2 linked regions of the Drosophila melanogaster genome follow. The protein of the gene in region 1 interacts with the protein of each later gene in a pairwise test. Each region holds a gene or a part of one and is shown on either strand. Other genes may lie near its edges.

Region 1 (7,372 bases):
AAAGTCAACATATTGTATATGTGTTCTCAGAATGATTAAAGTAAAATTATAATAAAATGGCAATTTGATAGGCGAATGTTTTCGAATTCCACGCATGGATCAAATAAAGTTAAGTACATACGTATTAAAATCAAAGATGACATTGATTTAAGCAGTTCGTAATACGTTCGAATTTGGGATTTCATCAAAAGCAAACTCATGAAAGCCAAGGGAAATAGGTTAAAAGAATCAACGAAATGACATATAAAATTCCAGTCGTGGCAGTACGGATAATAAATTTGGCACCCTCTGGGAAAAGGGCAAAACATAAAAAATGTTGGAGTTGCCCAAATAACCCCATGTGAATGTGGGGTTGGGGTTTGGATTTGGCCCGCATGTCAAGCTAACGAAAACAAAAACACAGCCCAGCGACGACAGCAATTGAAAAGAGAAAGTTGCAAAAAGAGAAAAAAAAAAACAAAAACTTCTAGCAAGTTGAAAAGTTGAAAGCCGTTAGCGGTCGGTCCAAGTTAGCGCAGTCGAATACGGTCAGTATTCGTAAATAGTGAACGCCACTCGGGTTCCCAGGTCCCAAATCTCAAATCCCAAATCCAGTCCGACACCCTCCCACTAAGCTGATAAGCCAACGAGGTGGGTTTGAAATCTGTATTTTGTTTTGCGTATTTTTTCAGCTCTTTGGATTTTGTAGTCTGGTGGAACGAGTTTTACAAATTGTCAACGCTTTGCTTTTAGCAAATACAATTTGTAGACAGGCAAACTAGTTTGCAGTTATGCCGAGACGAAACCAAAACAAGAATATAAGCTTTTGGGCGAGTTTTCCGACAGTGCGATACCTCCTGGTACCTGGTAATCAATAATCTGATTGGTCTAGATAAGACCACCGACTTCTTGGATATTTTCCAAATGAAGAGAGAAATCAAGATCTTGCATCTTATTATACAGACCATTTGCTATCACATTTCAAGTTTAATTGCAATAATTAAATGTAATTTAAATTGTAGTAGCAATTATAAACAAATTGATTAAGCAATATGGTAAAAAAAAACGTATATTAAAGTAATCCAAACATACGCTGTACATAATAAGTGTACTCTGGCCATCTAGCGGTACCTTGCAATCCGCAAATACCGCACCAGTATCTGAATCTGTGTATCTGTGCAACATAATTTTGTCATTACGAGGCGACACACACCCTCTTGGCCGGCCTGCATATGGGCAACAGATGTTGGGCAAATACAGAAACGAGAGCTCCGATATGCCAGATACAAGATACAAGATGCGACCAGGTAGTGCCACGCCCCTGCCCCTATACCGCCCCTATCCCGCCCCGAAAGTTGACTTTTGTTGGCTTGCCTTTAAGAGTTTTTGCTTCGTTGCCGTATATTTATTCATATTTTCTTTTTTTTTGATTTTTTTGGTTTTCGAGGCAAAGCGTGGGCAGTTGAGGTACATTTTTCCTCTTTCAGATAAGTTTGCTACACGTTCAGTGCACAGAGCAAAGCAGATCATTAAATGGATCCAATAATATTCCAGATTCGAAAATTTTAAAACTTTTAGCATATGTATAAATTCATACATGCTTGTGAATAAAATGATCTCTTATCACATAATACCACACCACATTAATGTTTCTATCTTTGTTGGGGGTTCCCCCCCTGGGGTTTCGCATCTCCTTCTGCGTCTCTCAAAATCCAAGCCTCCCTCCTTTTTGGTTTACGAATGGCCGAGTCAACAAAGAATTCATAATGAGAACAACAAAGGCTGCACTGGCAGTCAAGTGTGGAGCCAAGAATACAAAAGGAGAGAGCCCGGAGAGAGGTGTAAGTAGTGTGCGCTCCGCGAAGAGGCGCACAAAAAGGAAGTAACTAAAAATAACAAACATCTCGTTTCGGTTTGTAAGGTGGAATGAACTCAGAACCCGCGATGGAGAAGATGCCGAAAAGGAGACGCCGAGGAGACAAACCAGACACCCAGAGATCCATGCCCCAAAACTGATTGAACTACAGTGATCACTTGGTTAGAGGCACCCTAATCATTAACACGCCTGGCACACACGATTGAAAATGAAGTCACCACTTTAAAATAACATATATACTCATTTAAACTCTCCCATTTACCCAAATGTGTTCTAAATACCTACAGTCTCTGTAATACATGTTTACAATAAATCCCGCCAGATTCTCGGAATTAAAGTGCTTTGCAAATATTTTTTGAACAATTAAAAAAGATATAAACCAAACTGTAATGGCATCGATTTGTATACTACAATAGTTTAATGTTCTTTTCATGAATTTTTGGAATACAAACACAAAGTTCTAATACATTCTAGAGTTAAATATCTGAACATTATAACAAGAATATCCAAATTTCTTCTTTCACCACATTTCATCACATTTATTATATATAACAATTTCCTAATGGTACTGTAAAGTGTTTGATGAATAAAAGGATATTATCACAATAACAAACAGTAACTGGGTTTATCGTTTGATTCAGAAAAGGCTAGCTAGTGATCGTTATCCTTCCGCTGAGTCTTGGATCCGGGATTAGGATGATGCTGTGACTTGGAGGGATCTCACTCGGTTTGAGTTTTAGCGACTTACCTTCGTCCAGCAGGCGTTCGACGTGGGTGAAGACGTTGGGGAAGGCGGCCAGTTGCTTGCGGTCCTTGAGCAACTGGGCCAGATAGTCGGCGATGCTCTGTGTGCTCTGCTGCTGCTGCTGTGGGGTCAAGTGCTGCGGGGTCATGGGGACCACCACCTGCGGCGCCTGTTGCTGCTGCTGTGCCTGAGCCTGAGCCTGGGCTTGGGCTTGAGCCTGCTGCTGTTGCGCGACCGCAACAACTGCTGCGGCTGCCTGTTGCTGCAAGTGCTGCTGCAGTTGCTGTTGCACAACGGCTTTGCTCTCACAGACACTCATTTTGTTGCGTGCGTGTGTGATGTGTGGGTTTTTGGGAACTTTTTGTTTTGTTCTCGACGAGATTCTGGTTTTCAACTTTCAACTTTCCTTGGGTCTCTGCTTTCTTTACTTGGTGCACACTTCTTTTTTATTTGTTTTTGCTACTTTTAACACGTTACTGTGGGAGTTGGGAAATTCATTAAGTTTCGTACGCGAGCGATATTAAAAACGGAAAACGAAATGAAAACAACTCCGCCCAAAAGTATTTTTTCCGATCGGCAGCAACAACAATGCAGGGCGAGAGATACTGAGAGAGCGAGAGAGCGCAGCAAGTCGAAAGCGAAGGCAGAAAATTCCTCGGCGATCGCTCACTCACACACGGACAATAAACAGTAAAACTGTATATGCGACGGAGATGAATGAAAGCAGAATGTCAAAATAGCTGCCTCTCTCTCTCACCCTCGCTCATTTGGCTGCTGCAACAGCAAGTACAACAAAAAAGTATTTAAATAAATTTTATATTCAAATTTCTACGTTTTGAAGATACAAAGGTATAAATTCCTTTGCCTGGAGATGTACCGAGTGCACAAGGCCACTTAACCGATTTAAAAATGCAAGAAAACTCGCAGAAATATGCACAGTTGCTGATTATGTATTTGTTGTTGCTACTGGATGGCTTTGGATTTTATTCATTTCGTTTTGTTTGGAAAGTATTTTTTTTAAACACACTTTTCTTCTCTGAGGACTCCTATCCTTTGTTTATTTGATATATGTGTATATGGATTTTATTCGAGTCGGGGAATAGCGAACGGATCTCGGGACTTTACTGAACGATTCCTCCTAATTTTCCTACCACTGAACCGTGCGCAAAGAAAGAGAAAAAGAAACTGAATGCGAAGCGAAGAGCACAAAACGTTGTAAGTGTGAGATCATGCCAGTTCGATCGTGGGGTGGTGGTTTCAATGTGCTCTCGTTTCTCTGCTCTCTCGCCCAGTGACGTCACAAAGTGCGATTGCTTTTAATAAATATTTAAAAGCCAATATTTGGTTATATATTTGGGGGTATTTTTGATCTAAATTAACTAATTTCTAATATATCAGTGCTTTTAACTACTCGGTGACGTTTAGTCAATATTTGCATAACCATTTCCATAAAAAATACGCCAATACCCATCTTGTGACGTCAGTTTCTCTCTGACTTGGCTCTCTCGCACCCTACTGCCAGCATGCGAGATCACCCATCAGCGTTGCCACTCCGCACAAACAGAGTTGCGCAGCTGGTTAACATATTACACATATTTTAGCCAAAAGTGCGAGTATAAAAGTTAATAAATGGCCAAATAAGTTAATAGCAACTAAATACAAAGGTGGGCCATTAATATTCTTCCAAATGGAGGCTAGTTAATGCATTAATTGACTAACAACATTCAGCGTTGCCACCTGGTAGCTGGGTGGGCCACAATTTGGCGCGTTGGCGTTGATTTTGAATTAATTAAGACACTGCGCTGTGGAGGCATTAATTGCGCACGGAAATTGCTGGCAGATTAGAACCAAGCGGCATTTTGTTTCGCCGGACATATGCGGGGGCTGGCATCTGGGCCCCAAGTCCAAAACACCATGCAAATGAGCCCCCGAACTCGTACTGGCCAAATGTTGGTGTTAACTTGGTTAACTCTGCTGCAAAACGCGAAATGTATGTGGGAAAATTGGCATTCGCGAGCGTTTCGATGGACGCACCATATAAGCGACCCTAGGCCGGCGACAACTTTTACTTTCCATCGCGAAAGACATTTTTCGCTGGCTTCCGTGTGGTTGGCGAATTTCACAAAAATTCAACGCAGTATTAAGATATTGCGTACTAAAAATAATTAATTATCGATAAAGTGTATCAAAATAAAACAATCTTTTAAGTCTACAAAGCTACTTTTATTCTAAAATTTTACTCGTGTTCTGTTCACATTTAGGTCCTTCCACTATTACAACACTTAATGCCAGTGGATCGGTGAACTTATTGTGTGTTGCCTGTGTCTTCAACAATATTTTGATATACATATATGTATGAGGATCACTTCATTGCAACAGTCTTCCCCATCGGAACCCAAAATTTCTGGGGCGGCACATCTAGCCAACGGCAGGCATGGGGCAAGATCCGATTTTTGAAACCAGCATACACCAAAATGAGACGTGAAAGTTTAAAGTTGTGGCCAAAGTTGTGGATGGACATCGGATTGGTCGTTCCATTGGAAAGCAGACTCCCACCACCGGACCTCACCTGGCCAAGTTTCACAGTCCGGCCACAAGTCCCACCAAATTTGTGTGCACTTGGCTCAAACCGATCGGAATTGGCCTGTGTGTGTGGGCCGACATTAAATGCGTTGTACGGCCCCATTATACAGTTTTAGTGCCATTGAAAAATGTGTCAATGTGCGTGGCGATTGAGACATTGTATGCCTATGGATGGATATCCGATTTAAATCTCTGGGCCACAGACCAAAGCCCTTTCCAATCCGCACACCCACGTCGCCCAGTATCGGCCCATTGGACATCTGGCCAAGTCCGAAGTGCCAAGTTTTCCGTGGGCCGTTAATCTCTCTAGTGCTTTTGGAATTTGCCCTTTTGAATGTGGTGTTTTACATTGTGAGTGGGTCGTTTTGGGCGGCACTTTCGGTTTTGGAAAACCGAAATGGCCGCAAAATAAAAGTTTTCCAGCAGCTGTAAAGTTAGGCGAGAAAATGCTTGAATTGGTTCAAGTTTTGTGTAAACTGAAAAGTTCAGAAATTTTGGTTATGCACCATTAGTTCAACAACCTAAATCTAAAGTCGGAAATATCCCACAAATCTTTCATTGCCTATTAACAGAGAGATATTGCTACCCAAATGCAATTCGATTGTTTGACCAATTCGGCTGCTAAAAAAGAAGTGGTTCCAAAGATTGACAACCTGCCAGGCGGCGCTAACACTATATTGCTGGTCCCGGGAATCCTTTTTTGGCCACTGCACGTTTGTGTCGAATGCAAATTTGGCCAAGACATTTAGCGGCTTTGTGGCGGCCTAAACGACAAATTAAACATTCTTTTTCTTAATTTACCGCCGACACAGAAACAAACCACCGGTGGTGTGAGAGTGTGTAATTAGCAATATGTTGGCCAAAAGCCAGGCAGCAATCGTCCATTAACCAGTTCCCAGTTGTTTCCATTACGCATGAGACGCGGCCGTGTGGGCGCCACCGGTTTACCAACAGTTGAGTTTGTCAGTTTTCGGGTGCCACAAAGAAACCGAACTGCAACACCCACACAGATAGTAAGTATCTGTCAGATACACTCGACCACATACGCAACCCGCTCAGGCAACAAAAGTGTCCAGAGTGGTTTGGTTTTGACCATGCTCACAATGAATACAATTTTGTTATAGTATCTACGGATTTTATGTGTATTCATAAGATGAGATTTTCCAATGCTTTTTCCAAACACATTTTTGTCACCTGTGCGAATGCATTTTCTGTGTCACGCGCCGCGACCCACAGGTGAAACTCCTTACCCGTGCCGCGTTCCCCTTCATCCGTTTTCCGAATCCATTCATAAAGTTTCCACTTTGCATATTGTGCCCGACCGACCAGCTGATTGGATCCAACAAAACGCAGTCTGGCCAAAACTAATTCAACCACGATCCGCAAAGTGCTCATGAATGAGTAAACTCGAGCGCGTTGGCTTTTTCATTCACCGAAACATCGTTAACTTGGCTTTTAGAAACAAGTGCTAGTGGCAAGTGGGTATAACGGGAGGGGGCGTGTGCGTGTGGGCGTACGGCGTTGTGGTCTCCAAACATTCGTCACGCCCACGCCGCCAACAACATTCAATTTGCGCACTTACAGAAATTCGATAACTTGAAAATATTTCAAAGTTCATAGTTTGTAGAAAAAAAAAAACCAATAAGTAGAGGCGGTAAACTACTATTTACTCTATACCTAATGTCTTAAAAATCGACTTCTTTAAATTCCAAAACCTGCCCAAAACATTATTTAAACGAAAGATGGTGTATCCCTTTTATGAAACTTCAAAAACAAAGATGATCGTAATCCCTAAAAGCTGCCTTATTCTAATTTTGACTAATTTAAAAACTGAAATACCTTAAGTTAAGTTAAGTTAAGTTAAGTTAGTTTTTACCTTCAAACCCTACTACTACGAATTTTAGATATTGAGACATTGCTGTAGATTAAAGTTTAATTTATATTCAAGCCAAGGTGGCCCGCAATTATATTTTCGTATTGTGGGTGATGGAATCTCTTCAAAAAGGCGGCCTAAACGAGTTTTATTGGAAAATTGATCGCTGCCCAATGCTGTTTCAATTGGCCAATGCAGTCTGCAGTGGGCGCCCGCAAGCCAGCAATTGATTAAGCGCCCGATCATCGATTAGTTGGCCCAACAAGAGCGTCGCCTCCGTTTTGGAGGGACTTGGACTGGGCGAGCGTGGGCCTGA
Region 2 (10,067 bases), on another chromosome or scaffold:
AGTGTCGAGTTTGCCTGGCAAGCTCAAAAAACATGGTGAACATTTTCGAGGAAAGGCAGGATCTTCCAGTTTCAATAGCCCATATGATAATTGAATGCACCGGCTTCAAAGTTGAAAAAGGGGACTCATTACCGCACTCAATATGCCCACCATGTGTGAAGGATGCCCACAATGCGTTTACGATCATAAAAACCTACGAACGCAGCTACCAGGTCTTCTATGAAGTGCAGGACACGGTTCTCGAGGAAGAACTCTCGGAGGATGTAATCATCGAGCTATCAGACTCCGACGAGGTAATACTCATCGATGAACAAGAGGAGAAAGTTCATTTGAGTGAAAACAAGGCACCTACGAATGAAGTCAGCACCCAGGAAGAATCTAAAACTGCTCAATCCGACAATGTTTCCGAGGATAAGGGTCACATCTGCACACAGTGTCACATGTCCTTTCGGAGACCTGGTCTCCTAGAGCTACACATCCTGCGACACCACACAACGGACGGACCCCGTCCAATGTCCTCCACCAGCGAGCACGCGGTCAAAGAAGAGTTGAGGACGAAAGCCAGACAGCTTTCAAGGAATTCTACGCACACCTGCCGCCTTTGTAACAAGACCTTCTGCAGCAAAGCAAGCTGTGTCCGCCACCAAAAGACCCACACGGGGGAAAAACCCTTCGCCTGCGAAATTTGCCAAAAGCCATTTGCGGATCTTGCTTCCGTCAAAAGACATCTAAGGACTCACACGGGAGAAAGACCATTCAAGTGCCTTACCTGCCAGTCGGCCTTCTCGGATGGATCTGCTCTAAGGCAGCACATTCGAATTCACACAGGAGAAAGACCGTACAAGTGCGATATGTGCGATAAGTTCTTCCGGGAGCGGTCAGATGCTCGGAAGCACATGATGAGCCACACCGCAGAAAAGCGATTCAAGTGTTCCCAATGCGAGCGGCGTTTCCGCCAACCAAAAGGTCTGCGTAGGCATGTAAAGCTTTGCCATACGGACAAGGTCGAGAACGCGGCTATATCTTAAGCTTCATTTAGTTTAAACATTTAAAAATTAATTATTTTTTTTAGGTATAAGTATAAAACGCTCAATAAAAATGAATACCATCTGGGATATATTTAAAAAATCTTAATATTCCAATAGAATATTTATATGAAAGCAAACACACAAATCTAGCACAACATTCTTTGAAACATTATGAAAAAGGATCAAATTAATAACCTTAAAATTGTTCTTTTGGGCAAAAAGTTAAAAACAAAAAAGTAACTCTTGTCATCGCAGTCGGTAGGATTCGAACCTACGCTCCCAGAGGGAATCTGATTTCTAGTCAGACGCCTTAACCGCTCGGCCACGACTGCTCTTGCAACTAGTGATGTCAAATCCAGTGTTAGCTTAGGTGTAGAGAAACTGTAACCGATTTAACAGCGAAATTTGAAATATGGAAAAATCAAAAGTGAAATAAAGGGAATATTTTTGTCCAACTGTTATTTATTTGTTTCATTATACATTTATAAATACATTTACAAATACATTTATAAATATTCTCCACTCCACTACATTGGTAAACAAATCTGACTATCAACTTGGTAAAGTTCAGAAAAAGTATACAAAAATGAAGCCGACGTTGGGCAAACTTTCATTTGGTTTCTCTTTGATTTCCGTGAAATGCATCATAGTACAAAATGAATAGTTCAAATCATATTCACACATACAAAACGAGGTCTACACTAAGGCAATATTCTTGCTATTTTATATGCTTGTGGTGCGGTCGAGGACTTATAATTTATAATTACTGTCATACATCGTATATTGTGTGCGGCGTGTGGTGTACATTTCTTGCAACTAGTGATGTCAAATCCAGTGTTAGCTTAGGTGTAGAGAAACTGTAACCGATTTAACAGCGAAATTTGAAATATGGAAAAATCAAAAGTGAAATAAAGGGAATATTTTTGTCCAACTGTTATTTATTTGTTTCAATATACATTTATAAATACATTTACAAATACATTTATAAATATTCTCCACTCCACTACATTGGTAAACAAATCTGACTATCAACTTGGTAAAGTTCAGAAAAAGTATACAAAAATGAAGCCGACGTTGGGCAAACTTTCATTTGGTTTCTCTTTGATTTCCGTGAAATGCATCATAGTACAAAATGAATAGTTCAAATCATATTCACACATACAAAACGAGGTCTACACTAAGGCAATATTCTTGCTATTTTATATGCTTGTGGTGCGGTCGAGGACTTATAATTTATAATTACTGTCATACATCGTATATTGTGTGCGGCGTGTGGTGTACATTTCACATATAAAAATGTACGTAATTAAAAACTGTTAGATCACAAAGGAAAATGCTAATAAATAGGAATTTGCTTAGACATAAGTACATGGATACATGTGGTCGCGTTAACTAACTAAGGTACGAGTTCAACTGATACATTGTATGTTTGGCTCTTCAAAAAGTCATTAAAAAGCATAAAAATCGTTCTCAAAAAACTACAATTTCTGTTTTAAATGCACTTTGCAAAAGTATACATCAATTTATGCTTGCGCGGCTGATAATTTATAATTGCTGCACAACGATATCATATGTTAGAACTATATGTATGGGGTCTTTCGGGCTCTCTTCCGTTCCGATGGTTCTTCAAAGATTTATATTCGACAGCGACAACCAATTTTGACACAGAAGCGTTAAATAGTCGTGTATGCGTGTGAAAATAGCAACCAGGCCTAAGGGGCCACCTTGCCGACTTCGTGCATCATGACCAAGGACCCAACCATCGCCACAAGCGTACGGTCCAGCCAAGTGACAGGGTTCGGGTACAGGAAGCCGCCCTCATAGAAGCCCAGATGACCGCCATGGGCCACCTCCACATAGGCGGTGTTTTGACGCGTCGCTGAGGGGAGAAAGATTAAGCAATAAGCAACGTGATAGCAAGCAAAGAACTTTCTACTTACTGGCATACTCCTTGATGGGATGCAGCAAATCCTCCGGGATCAAGGGATCATCCTTGGCGTTGATGAAGATCATTGGCTTCTTGATCGTATCGAAGTAAAACAGCGACGAGCTCCACTTGTACAACTCCTGGGTGGAGGGAAAGTTGTACACTCTCCGCGTGTAAGCCTCATCCAACTCGGGCAGAGTGGCAGCCGCGATGATTTCGCGCTCGTTGAGATTATGCCGAGCCTTGACCTCGTCGGACAGGAGGATATGTCGATGTCGCAGGATAATGCTCTTTACGTTCTCAGTCATGATGTATAGGTAAAAGCGGCGGAAATTCTGCCAGTTGAGCAGCCACTTGGTGCCTCTGCAATATAATTATTAAGTATTTAGCTCTGATTTCCTATATTAATAGTTTGAATAGCAACTCACTCGACGGCATTGTAGCCTTGACATATGGATATGCCTCCAATGACCTTGTCTGGCTTTGTCTTCTGGTCCTCGCCCATGTACTTGGTGACCAGATTGCCGCCCAGACTGAAACCAACCGCGACAATTCGACTTTGGCGGTACTTCTGGTGCAAATGCTCTACCATGGCCGCGAAATCCTCCGTGTGGCCGTAGGTGAAAATGCGTGTGGAGGTCACCTGGACACTGCGCAGTGCGCCAATGTGATTTAGCACCGCACAGCGGTATCCATTGCACTGGGCCAAGTGCACGAAGGTGCGAATGTACACCGATTCCGAGCTGTTGGCGATGCCCGGGCAAATGGCCACCGTGATGTCATCTGTGGGAGTGTTGAATACATTTAGTACAGGCAATGCATCGGGATTAGGCTGCCTAACTCTTACCCTCCTGTTCGTTGAGTGGCTGGTACAAGTCGTAGGTCAATGTGGAGCCATCCTTTAGCGACATGTAAACACGTTCTCCGAGTGGCCAGGGACATCGTACCCGGCCAACAATGCTGTGCAAGACCGTCTGCACATGGCCACTAAAGCCCCAAAGTCGCGGGGGAATGTATCTGGAAAGAGTGAAAAGAATGGGATTATTATAACGTACTTTAGATTCTTTAATCAGCAATTATTGCATGGGTCGTAAACCTATTATAAATGTTGATTAAGCTACTTCTTTTCCGTTGGCAAGCTATATGAATATATTTCATTTTATTCCGATCTTGTTTGCCCTTGACATTGCACTGTGAATTATGGCAATGATAAATCTGCGCACAATTGCTTCCAGTTTAGTTAGCAGGCAATTTGCCAAATTTGCGCAAATACTCGTATTATTTATACAAATTGAATTTTGATCTACGTCCAAGTTTTTTAATGCGATGACTTACAAATTCGAAAGAGAATGCCACCAAATGCACAAAGCCGCAATTCAGCAAACAGCATTAGAACCAATTGAACCTAATTGAGTGCACGCAGCTACACCAGAATTGGATGGAGAAAGTCGGATGTTCTCTGCCAAAGGTATTTTCAATTGAAAGGTATATTTTTAGAATTTAGAATCAACAGGGTAAATGGGGGTATATTCTTCCTTTTCTGCAAAGCCTTCTGTTTCCAAATCAAGCCCTATTTGATTGAGTTGATTTAAGCATTTTACAATGCATTTTTTTCCTGCGTGTATCAGAAATCATGTCAGCCGTGCAAAAACGTGATACAATTTTGTGTATCCACTTGTGAGCTCAGCAACAGTAGCCATTCAATTAGTATCAATCAAAGTAAAATGGTGAAATGGTTTGTGGGCAGGGGCGTGGCCACTTTGGGAACAGGCACAAATGCCGGCGTATCTGGCTTTTCAATTTTTAATCAGTTTCAAGCATGAATTTCCCAACAGTAATCAATATGAATGACACTTAGTGAATAATGTGCCCTCGCATGCATATATATATGTAGAAATATATCATTAAAAGTTAATGTGTCGTTTAGAGTTCGCAAGCCTAAAGGCAAAAACAGCTGCAATTCTTTCCCACCTTCAAGTTGTCAGCTAAAAACGAGCAGCACACGGTGCTAATGAGTCATCACCCTGGGTTTCTATCAACGGCGCACCTCTAAAACAATCGTCTTCACGGAAATTAGAAGCCTGTGGAACCTTTTGACACTTGATCTTTGCCCAACATAAACTTACTATGTTTGTGTTCTGATATAAGAATGAATAATAGCCCACTATAATCCCACTGTTTATGAGCCCATTTTGCAAATTTTCTACGTAACTATTTACTTAGCTTAAATGCCCTTTTTTATAAAATGAGGAAAAGTAACTTCAAGTAAGAGTTTACAACTATATAAATGCACCGCCTATTGAAAATAAAATCCGAAAAAATTAACTACACTAGAAAACGAGCTCTATTGTTAAAATTTCAATAGCATTTCTGGTCTTTTCGTGGGTAGAACAAATGCACAGGAAGATGACGGAAATTAACAGGCCCTCCGGCTTTTTAGCCGAGTATATCTCACCTTTCAACCGGTTTGTCAGGTGAGAAAACACAGGTGAGCGGGGGTAGAAAGCAGCAGCGCAGCAGTCGAGAGAACTCTGCTTACGCAATCTTTGTTGTCAAACAAAAGCGGCAGATTGACTGGGCAGAAAGCCAAAACATTCACAGGTAGTGTGCCGGCATTTGAATCAGCCAAAGTGCCAAAAAGAAATAAACTGCGCCAACAATTCGCCGGCAATCTTTTCATTATCAACCTACATTTCCATACAATATATGTATGAGGAAACCCCCACGCGATTATCGAGTGGCAGGGGAAATTTGTGGCCAAAATCGGGTTGCTAGGCGTTAGTCGCTGTCTCAACTGCGTAATTGCGGGGCGAACTTTGAGCTATATTGTTATTAATCCTTATCGCGACTGCTGGCAGACGTGTTTCAAAAAAAAAAAGTAAATTAAAAACGAAAGAAAAATTCTATTTATTTATGCGGCTCCTGGTCAACGAAGGAGAAACCCAGCGGGCATTCACAGATTTACACAAAATAATGAAAATCGAATGAAAATTTTCCAGGCAGCGAGAAGAAATGTTTATCAAGGAAGTGATAAAAGTTAATGAATATTTGTGCCATTAAACTTGATTTCTCTATCGGTTCGCTGCTGATAACCTCCGCTAAACTGGCAAATACAATTCCCAATTTAAAACAATTTCTACACCCAAGATAACCTATTGAAATATTTTTAGCCCGTGACCGCAGATGTACATGTATAATGAGTAAGACTTACTATATCACCGATAACGAAACCTCAGACAGGAAGGAGTGCTCTCTATTTTATAGAGGGGTGCATATATTGAACACACCAACCTATTTATTGACTGATAGTGCGCATCAAAGTGTTGGAATTGCATTTAATCAATGGGTTTGTAGCTGCATTTCGTAGACATACATAGATAGTTACTGATGAGTTACTGAATTGCTTAGACAGCGACATCAGTTTTATTGACTAATTTGCCATTCATGATTCATTCGCCAGCTGGGAAATTCGACGGACTGCGTGAAACAATGGCTTTCAGTTTGAACATGCTACTTAATTGGCGGTTTAAAGTAATTTGAGGTGATTGCTGATTTGCTTATCAGCGAAACCGACTGGCACAATTATGAAACCTGAGGTAACTAATATTTTGGCGCGACTGTGATGCTGATGACATTGTTAGCAACTCAGCTGCGATGGCAATACAATCTTCTACAAACTTTATTAAGCTCCTTGAAACGTGAGTATATTAAGTTTATTCCATTAAAACAGGAATCCATAGTTCAGTTTTGTACTCTTATATCGATTTCGAAACAATATAACCCTACAAGAACTGAAGGTTGCTATAATTTTGGCCACACCTGTGACCCTGAATGTGTTATGAAAATGAGGAAAAAAAAGAGCAAATGATGATTAGCACATGATTTAATGACACTTGTTCCCGGATTACTTACGGTTCCCTTAGGACGGGCGCGATCTTGTAGAGGCAGTCGAGGAAGTGGGCATCAAGGCACCACACACTGGGCTTCAGCGGCTGGCTGTGAACATTAAGGATGCGGAACAGGATGCACACGATGACGGCGATGAGGGTAAGGAAGGCGGTGGACATGGTGGCGCTGGGTGCTGCGAGTTTTTAGCCAGGATCCGAGGAAGTGACCCGCCTTGTCATCCAATCGAACTCCACTTATCCTGCTATTTGGCGCGCCTCCTTGCGGCTTCTCTTCGTGTTTCCCAGGGCAATCTGCGTTGCTTTCGTCCTTTCTATGTGCGTTTGCTACGTTTTTTGGCTGGCGTAAATAAGTTAACACTTTCCACGAGAACCGGATTTAAATGCTGCTCGAAATTTCCGAAAATTCGCCTGCTGCGATTTTTTTCAACTGCCAGATGTGGTGTGACCGCGGGCGAGGCCATGCGAAAATACCAACTGCGTGGGCGGAGCTGCGCAACTATCGGTTGCACACTTATAGTATTTTATGCTTTGCCGCCAAAATGTACGCATTTAAAATGCTGTCCAAAACAAAGTATTGGTTGTTATTACAATTTTAATGCAATGAATATATAACATTAAATCTTTTGATTTAGTTTTAGTAATATAAGTAAGGACAATAAATTATGGTACTGAAAACTGAGTGAACTTGATGGTTTTACCTGCGGTGCAAACAGAATTAGCACTCCGATCCAAGAAGTATGGGCAGAATTGGACATTTACCGAAAAAAAAAGATGCCTGAATCCAAAAATAGGATCGCAAATTAAATTTCCTTAATTTAATGTGCAGTAAATAAATAAAAGTAACTGATTCAAACGTGAATAGTTGCCATAGACCAGATATTTCAACGAATTCAAAAGCCATTTGTGAGGCCTTATAAGACGTATCTTAATCTCAACCTTGTAGGTAATCCATCAGGAAGGGCTTATCATCTGGAGCATAGGGCGTCAATGGAACGTCGTATGGTAGCGGAAACGCTGGCACTCCATCACGATTGTTACCCAAAGGAAAGGTGTCCTCGCCAGTCTGGAAAGCAAAGAGCACCAGTTGCAATGGACTTTGATTCAAAAATCTCACAAGACCTACCACAAATCTGGGCAGGAATAGGACGCCAGCCTCATAGTTGGCGATCCTCAGGCAGGGTTGGATATTCGAGTTTTTGTTAAAGCAGCCCCAGGCTGCCTTCGAGAGATTCGCCGAGGTTAAAACGAACCAGTACACCGACTGATCCTCCAGATTGAAGCGCGTATAGCTCTTGATGTGCGGCATTGCCCGCGAGCGAAAGCGATCGCTGGACTTCCATTGCTGCAGATAGTCCTTGAGCCATGGCTGCTTATCGTTGGTGTTCTTGCCGTAGGGCAAACACCCGCCGCCCAGCATTCCATCATGACTGCCCGCGACGTTGCCGTAGCTGGGATAGATCATCTTGAAGGGCGGCATCTGGCGCAGCTTGCCCACAGGCGTGGAATCCTTCTTCAGGCTATTGACGAAATCTGCCAGATGTGGTGTGACCGCGGGCGAGGCCATGCGAAAATACCAACTGCGTGGGCGGAGCTGCGCAACTATCGGTTGCACACTTATAGTATTTTATGCTTTGCCGCCAAAATGTACGCATTTAAAATGCTGTCCAAAACAAAGTATTGGTTGTTATTACAATTTTAATGCAATGAATATATAACATTAAATCTTTTGATTTAGTTTTAGTAATATAAGTAAGGACAATAAATTATGGTACTGAAAACTGAGTGAACTTGATGGTTTTACCTGCGGTGCAAACAGAATTAGCACTCCGATCCAAGAAGTATGGGCAGAATTGGACATTTACCGAAAAAAAAAGATGCCTGAATCCAAAAATAGGATCGCAAATTAAATTTCCTTAATTTAATGTGCAGTAAATAAATAAAAGTAACTGATTCAAACGTGAATAGTTGCCATAGACCAGATATTTCAACGAATTCAAAAGCCATTTGTGAGGCCTTATAAGACGTATCTTAATCTCAACCTTGTAGGTAATCCATCAGGAAGGGCTTATCATCTGGAGCATAGGGCGTCAATGGAACGTCGTATGGTAGCGGAAACGCTGGCACTCCATCACGATTGTTACCCAAAGGAAAGGTGTCCTCGCCAGTCTGGAAAGCAAAGAGCACCAGTTGCAATGGACTTTGATTCAAAAATCTCACAAGACCTACCACAAATCTGGGCAGGAATAGGACGCCAGCCTCATAGTTGGCGATCCTCAGGCAGGGTTGGATATTCGAGTTTTTGTTAAAGCAGCCCCAGGCTGCCTTCGAGAGATTCGCCGAGGTTAAAACGAACCAGTACACCGACTGATCCTCCAGATTGAAGCGCGTATAGCTCTTGATGTGCGGCATTGCCCGCGAGCGAAAGCGATCGCTGGACTTCCATTGCTGCAGATAGTCCTTGAGCCATGGCTGCTTATCGTTGGTGTTCTTGCCGTAGGGCAAACACCCGCCGCCCAGCATTCCATCATGACTGCCCGCGACGTTGCCGTAGCTGGGATAGATCATCTTGAAGGGCGGCATCTGGCGCAGCTTGCCCACAGGCGTGGAATCCTTCTTCAGGCTATTGACGAAATCCTGCTGAATCCAGGCCTGCACGTTGGCTCCCAGGCTGCCGATGCTCGAGCTCTGGCAGACGACCGGTATGCGATCGTCGATGGGCGCCGCGTGTTTGGCGAGCAAGGAGGCCAAGCGGGCGTGGCCCCATGGATGACCACGCACGCTGCCCTCGCGATGACCTCCGGGCACAGAGCCCAAGAAGAAAACGCTGCGGAGGGAAACAATTGATAGATTAAATCTACAATACTTAGGTTGTGTCCTACTTGATGGCACTGAAATCACTGTTCCGAATCCTTGCTATCCAAGGCTGCAGCTGGCTTATCTTGTACTCCACCAAGTACAGCATCAGATCCTGTTTGAAGCCCGTCAGACTTTCGCCAGCGCCCGTATCCGCATCGACCGGCAGAGCAGGCAGCTTGGGACTGATCCACAGGCCCTGCGTGCGATTGTGCCAGTCGTCCTCGTACAGATTCGCCGTGGATATGACCACCCGCATGGAGCCATCGCTGTAGCCGAGGAACATCATCTTGGTGTGCGAGGTGGCAAACGGCGTGGGCATCTTGACACGAATGGCCGTGACCTGCTGCT

What was found.
Region 2: the proteins of how (region 1) and Hydr2 interact in a two-hybrid assay, tested with the Drosophila melanogaster proteins (one large-scale study listed by BioGRID).

The regions. Positions count from the first base shown.
Region 1 is NT_033777.3:22,038,611-22,045,982, reverse strand, and holds the start of how (held out wings), read right to left. Parts: upstream 3,793-7,372; 5' UTR 3,628-3,792; intron 3,077-3,627; 5' UTR 2,920-3,076; coding exon 2,604-2,919; intron 1-2,603. UniProt on the Drosophila melanogaster protein: RNA-binding protein involved in muscle development and dosage compensation. Vital role in steroid regulation of muscle development and to control heart rate.
Region 2 is NT_033779.5:3,160,875-3,170,941, reverse strand, and holds Hydr2 (alpha/beta hydrolase2), read right to left. Parts: upstream 7,298-10,067; 5' UTR 7,023-7,297; coding exon 6,868-7,022; intron 4,415-6,867; exon of another isoform or gene 4,291-4,414; intron 3,973-4,290; coding exon 3,803-3,972; intron 3,739-3,802; coding exon 3,384-3,738; intron 3,319-3,383; coding exon 2,969-3,318; intron 2,908-2,968; coding exon 2,741-2,907; 3' UTR 1,480-2,740; downstream 1-1,479. Other genes in the region: CG44002 (uncharacterized protein), read left to right, coding at 1-1,028; gkt (glaikit), read right to left, coding at 8,898-9,029, 9,090-9,687, 9,743-10,067.